Tribolium castaneum: one gene and its partner. The protein of the gene in region 1 binds, or shares a complex with, the protein of each later gene. Links are inferred from orthologs where the notes say so. Each region holds a gene or a part of one and is shown in the gene's direction. Other genes may lie near its edges.

Region 1 (3,638 bases):
TTTTGCTAAGTTTTTGAAAAAAACCTCAAAATCCAATAAGAAAAAAAACCGGGTTGACATAAATTTACTTGGAAAAAAAATCCTAAATTTCATCTTGACAGTCTGAAGTCTGAAGAATTTTTCGGTATTTTATAACTCGATTTATTTTCCATTCGTAGAGCCTTATTGGCAATAAAAATATTTTCAAAAATTCATTTCGTTTTGTGTAACTCAAGTCGTATCAGATTTATTGAACGCCTGTATTTGCCACAAGCTTGGCAACCTTAAAGCTCTCAGCTTCGCTTCGAGCTTCAATATTACATAATTATTACCTCTCTCCATCATCCTGATGGCTTCTGCTATATAGGGCACCAGAAGCCTGTTAACAATAAACCCGGGGGTGTCCTTGCAGGTGACGCAGGTCTTGCCCACGGCTTTGCCCCACGCCATAAAGGCCTCGTACGTCTCCTGCGACGTCTCCGGAGTCCTAACAACCTCCAAAAGCTTCATAACGGGCACGGGATTGAAAAAATGCAGCCCCCCGAACCTATCCTTCCTCTTCGTAACGGAGGCAATTTCGGTAATCGAGAGCGAGCTCGTATTTGACGCAAACATGGTTTTGGGGGGCGCGACCTCATCCAAATTTTTGAACAATTTGTGCTTAACATCCATGTTTTCAACAATCGCCTCCACGACCAAATCGCTGTCTTTCACAGCTTCGGCAATGTCGGTGCACCCCTTAATCCGGGCCTGCGATTCGCTCACGAATTTATTAGCGGCTTGCGGGTCATCCTTGTGGAGTTTTTTGGCGACTCGTACCAAGTTTTTCGCAATGCTGTCTTCGGCTTTTTTGATCAAGTCGGGGTTGACTTCCACGATGGTCACGTTGTGGCCGGTTTGCGCGGCCACCTAAGCAAGGGGGCGAATGTTAGGTTAGGTTCGGGTGGTTTGGGGTACACTTACTTGGGCGATGCCTGAGCCCATGAGGCCGCCCCCGATCACAGTTACGTTTTTTATAACTGCGTTCATGGGGCTTGAAGTTGAAAGGCTTCGCTTGATGAACAGGTTTAGGGCCATTTTTTCGCGTTCGGTTACGAGTAAAAAGTGGTGTGTAATGCGGATTTTGTTTGGTTTATTAACGATACAATAACTAGGTGAAAGTCCAAGTTTGTAACCTATGATCGACTCCCACCGCTACGTTTGTGTACTTTTTAATCATTTTATCGTTTATGGCGAGATTAGGGCTCAGAAGTGAAAATCATCGTGCCGATGGTTTAAAAATAATCCGCTTTCGATAACGAGTGCGACTTTTGTACCTGAATTTATTTAGGTATTATGTAATAAAAGTGCAACATCATTCAGTCAAGTGGTACACAGGAGGGTTCCAAAATGGGGCTATATAGCAATCCCTGTTATCAATTTATCCACTTTTTTCAAAGAAATACTTGAAAAAAAATATAATTTTGGGGAAATTTGTGATTATGCAATCAGCAATACACGTGTGAGAGGTTAGTTGCATTCTATAAGTTGTCAAATGTCATAAAAACACCAACTTTTGTAAGAAAAATAATTTATTTCTGATTTAAAAAAGTACACAATTCTCGATTATCAACAATGGTTAATGTAATGAAAGGCGTTTTGGTGACCTGGTAAGGCCCTAACAATTTTTTTGAGTTTTTGTTTGACATAACCTCAATCATGCCAGATAATCCAAATCTCCGGGAATCCCAAACTGCTTATTTAAAACCTTATCTTCCATCATAAACTTCCTTTTGCACCATGATTTGACCGCGAAGATATTATCAGTCCATCGATTTGCTGCTTCTTTTACCGGTTTTATCTCACTTTGCATTAATTTCAAATTTTGAGTATCTGTGTGAGATTTCGACAGAGATTCGAATTTTTCTTTCTGTTTTTCCAGTTTTTCAATTTCCTTCAAAATCTGGCTGTCGTCCCAATTCTCTTTCCCCACCTGCGCTTTTTCCATAGTTTCGTCAATTAATTTCAATTTTTTTGTTGACGATTCTAATTTCGTTTGAAGCTCGTTAAGTTTGCGTTTTTTCGCGTTAAGTAATTTGCTGTAATTAGGATAAAACGTGTTTTTGGCCCGTCTATACCGTTTTTCGGACACTCTCCCAGTTATCTCAGTGATCTCCGTTATTATAAGAGATACGAGGTCGGTTAAATTAGGGCAAAGTTGCGCATTTTTATGCTGAACAATTATTTGAAAAAAAAAATTGTAATTTTCGTTTTTATTTTTTCAAGTGAAAACCAAAAGAACTAGACGTAGGACTTTTTCGGGCACTTTTTACAAGGAATCTAAATTTGTCATCGGATTTTCCTAGGCTTGCTTGATGTCAGAGTTACAACACTTAACTTCGTTTTTTTTATGGGAAAAAAATAAAAACGAAAATCATTTTTTTAAATTTCTCTCAATAATTCAAAAACTAAAAATGGCACATAAAATTTTCTTTCAGAAATTGTTTTGCATACAAATGCACAACTTCTCAAAAAAACGGACACCCTGTATAATATTTACCTGGGAAAAGCCCAAAAGTAGACGGAACTCCCGATCTTATCCTTATCAACAGAACCATCATCCACCAAAGCTTGGACCACTTCTTTCACAGAATTCGCCGTAATTCCTTTCTCCTTTGGCGCAATTATTTCCAATTCATTCATTTGATAAAAATCCCCAGTCTCGTGAAACAATTGCAACATCCTAGCCTTTTTCTCCTCAAAACTTAGACCTTTTTTCTTGAACATTTTCCCCTAAAAAATGCGTTGTTTCAGTGACCAGGCCATGAAACAATTCCTTTTGTATTTAGATGAGACTACAAAACTAGGCCGAAAATTCATAATTCAGGACTTGGATGAAAACCACTTATTTATTTCAGCCGATATTTTAGAGACATTACAGGCAAAAATCGACGATCTGATGGACCAAATTAGCTTCCCAGTCGCCGAAAAAAGCAATTAATTTTTTGTAATTTGCAAAAGTGAGGTTATGTCATATTGATGTGTGGTCATTCGAATTATAAATAAAAAGCGCAGCATTTATATAATGACGTGTTTTGCTATAAATAATATCGTTGCGGGCCGGTTTTCGTCCATACTTACGCAATAAGGCACTAATTAACTGTTTTTTCAAATTGTCGGTACAAATAATACAGTTCCCTGTAAATTGGAAGTGGCTACAATTACGCTTCTTTGATAACCGACTATTCTACAGTTGTTACGCCATCACGAACATTTTTACACACAAATGATAAGAATAGAATTAAGCAATAGATAACGGAAACGTGTCACTAATTATAATTTTTCCCTGATTTAATAGCCGCCGTGACGTAACCACAGCCACATGTCAAACGTCACAATTGACTTCTTTGGTTATGTTCCGTTTGTCAAAGTTATAAAACGAAAAAACGCGTTTCTCGGCCACAAATCATCAAGTGTGTTAAGTTCCGTGTCAGTGCATTTACCCCCATCATGACGGTGCCCACCCCCAGCGAGAAACTCCTCACCAATGGCTCCACCACTCCCAAGCGCCAAAACGGCCAAAAATCGGGCCTCATGAAGCTATCAAGTTACGTGCTAGCCTTGCGTCCGTGGTCCCTCAGTGCCAGTCTCATGCCCACACTGTTGGGCTCCACCATAGC
Region 2 (2,749 bases), on another chromosome or scaffold:
TCTCAATATACCAATCGTGGTAATCCCCGGAACTATCAGTAACAATGTACCAGGGACGGAATTTTCACTAGGTTGTGACACAGCCTTGAACGAAATCACCGAAATTTGTGATAGAATCAGACAGTCGGCTCAAGGCACGAAAAGGAGGGTTTTTATTATTGAAACCATGGGCGGGTATTGCGGATATTTGGCCACACTTGCAGGTAATATCGATATTAAGTTGGCAACATTGTATGAAATGAAGACAGTTTGTGTCTCAAAACGTAAAATATTCGACCCTATACAGGTTGTTTCAGAACTACTTAGTTTTTGACGTAATTTATTTCTTCCAAAATCCTCCATTTTAGAAATAAAATATAGGAGTTCGTATTACTTGTATTATCTTATTTCTGATACACCTTGTATATTTGATGCATGGGGTAATTAAATATCTATTAATGATATAAAAAAGGTAAATATTAATGTTTAAGTTTGACAGTCAATGTTGCCAACACATTCATTATTCAGCATCGCCAACTTATTTTCACATGTTAGGTCTCGCTGGGGGTGCGGATGCTGCGTACATTTACGAGGAAAAATTCACAATTAAAGACTTGCAACAAGATGTCTACCACATGGCTACGAAAATGTCCGAAGGTGTACAACGTGGTTTAATTTTACGTAACGAAAAAGCGTCAGATAACTACAATACCGACTTTATCTACAGATTGTATTGTGAGGAAGGAAAAGGCTTGTTTAGTGCCAGGATGAACGTTTTAGGTATTTATATAGACGTTTGTTTGTTTAAAAATTTAATACTTTTTTTGTGTGTGTATTGTTAAGGTCATATGCAACAAGGGGGTTCCCCCACACCTTTTGACCGCAATGTTGGTACCAAAATGGCGTCCAAAGCGGTCGAATGGATGATCAACCAATTAAAAAGCAATATGAGTTCAGACGGCTCAGTCAGTTGTTCTAGTCAAGACAGCGTCGTTCTGTTAGGAATCGTTAAAAGACAATACAAGTTTACACCAGTCGCTGAGTTGAAAGAACAAACCAACTTTGAGTACGTTTATAAATTATTAAACTGTTTTTTATAATTACTTTAAATTGTTTTAGCTTGCGTATGCCTAAAGAGCAATGGTGGTTGAAACTGCGCCCTCTATTGCGTATTTTGGCAAAACATGATTCGACATATGAGGAAGAAGGGATGTATATGACGATTGAGGATCGCAGTTTTATTAATTAAAGGCAACCGTAGCCATTTATAGTGAATTTGTATTTTTTAGCTTGTTTTATTTATTTTATTGTGTAGTTTATTTTATTAAATGAGATATTGTAAACAAATTTTGGCCATATTGTGATGACAATATCGATATTTGAAGACGGGTCAAGTGTTACAAAGTACGATTCGAGCTGGGTATGTGGAATGGACGTATTATATTTCAATAAAATTTTAATAAACTATCAAAAATTCCTGCACCTTTTTGAATTTCGCGCTTGTATACGTTGGCGTTGCCAACCGTTGGAATAACAAAAAAAAGATGAAATTCCCTAAGTCGGCATGGTGGCGTTGTTTTTATACAAAATTTATTAGAGGAGAAAACTACGTTCCCGCTCGTTTGTATTAAAAATTGTGCTAATTTAAGTGATTAGGATGTCGGAACCTTCGACCAAAGACTCAGGGGCCACGAAAACTCCCATGGTTTACATTTGCGGAGGTACGTGAAAGTGAGGTTATGTTTTGATTTGAAAATTTTCGAAAATTATTTAGAATGCCACAATGAGAACGAAATAAGGCCGCGGGATCCAATCAGGTGCCGGGAATGTGGGTACCGTATTATGTACAAGAAGAGAACCAAACGATGTATCCTTTTATTATCAATTACTAACACTTGCAAATTTTCAGTTAATTTTTCCTTAACTTTGATCCAGTGGCCGTGTTTGACGCCCGGTGAAAAAATTGTAATTAATTAAGGTTGGAATAGAGTGTTTTTTACATTGGGGTTATTATTTGCAAACCTGTCTTTCCCCTTTCCTACGTCCGACAATTCAAGCACCTTGGGCACCACCTGGGGCAATGCATCGATTTCCCAGGGCCCAGTTGTAGCGAAAATTTCAAGGTCTCGCGCAAGGGCAGTGCAGGACCACTTTCTGCAACGCAACCTCCTCTTTAACCAAATTCAAGGTCGTCCATGTGCGATCAATAAAACTAAATACACGCAGGTTCTACGCCGGTGTCTGAGCGCGCCGGTCGCGACGTGTGGCTTCGCCGTTGAAAACGCCGAGAGTAAAAAATTCGCCGATTTTTGGACTGACAATTGTCGGAGGAGTGAAGGTGGTGCAGGACGTGGGGGCCAATGATGGCCGTCTAGGGCTGCGATAACTGCGTTGTGTTATTGCACCACGTGCTGAAAGGGCGCCGGCGAGGTTTACCGTTGCGTGCCGGTTTCCCGCCAGCGCACTGAGGTAATTTTGATTTTTGAAGTGTTTTTTTGATTTTCCCCAAAATGTTTTTTTGAGCCTAAGAGACCACAACCATGGTGTGATTTTATTAAATTTTATGGAAAAAACCTATCACGTAGGATAGGTTTTAAGGTTTTGAGACATTGGACAGCCATGCATTTTGTCGGATTTTTTTTTTTTTTTAATTAATTACGGCAAAACTGTTCGAATATTATGGAACTATTTCATATGAAACTATGTAAAATGATCCTTCGTAAAGAATACCTCAATATCTATCAGACAAGATGGGTTTTAATTGATTTTG

What was found.
Region 2: Tfb5 (region 1) and Polr2K share a complex: the UniProt entries of both Homo sapiens proteins name them as parts of the TBP-based Pol II pre-initiation complex. The link is inferred for Tribolium castaneum from reciprocal best matches to the Homo sapiens genes GTF2H5 and POLR2K.

What each region holds. Positions count from the first base shown.
Region 1 is NC_087399.1:6,497,778-6,501,415, reverse strand, and holds Tfb5 (general transcription factor IIH subunit 5), read left to right. Parts: upstream 1-1,486; 5' UTR 1,487-1,593; coding exon 1,594-1,628; exon of another isoform or gene 1,629-1,675; coding exon of another isoform or gene 1,676-2,057; intron 2,058-2,518; coding exon of another isoform or gene 2,519-2,745; exon of another isoform or gene 2,746-2,751; intron 2,752-2,772; coding exon 2,773-2,959; 3' UTR 2,960-3,044; downstream 3,045-3,638. Other genes in the region: hydroxyacyl-coenzyme A dehydrogenase, mitochondrial, read right to left, coding at 312-888, 943-1,056; meiotic nuclear division protein 1 homolog, read right to left, coding at 1,676-2,057, 2,519-2,745; heix (ubiA prenyltransferase domain-containing protein 1 homolog), read left to right, coding at 3,469-3,638. UniProt on the Homo sapiens protein: Component of the general transcription and DNA repair factor IIH (TFIIH) core complex, which is involved in general and transcription-coupled nucleotide excision repair (NER) of damaged DNA and, when complexed to CAK, in RNA transcription by RNA polymerase II.
Region 2 is NC_087394.1:4,870,805-4,873,553, reverse strand, and holds Polr2K (DNA-directed RNA polymerases I, II, and III subunit RPABC4), read left to right. Parts: upstream 1-1,508; 5' UTR 1,509-1,636; coding exon 1,637-1,700; intron 1,701-1,753; coding exon 1,754-1,846; intron 1,847-1,914; coding exon 1,915-1,937; 3' UTR 1,938-1,980; downstream 1,981-2,749. Other genes in the region: Pfk (ATP-dependent 6-phosphofructokinase), read left to right, coding at 1-203, 535-759, 823-1,045, 1,099-1,228. UniProt on the Homo sapiens protein: DNA-dependent RNA polymerase catalyzes the transcription of DNA into RNA using the four ribonucleoside triphosphates as substrates.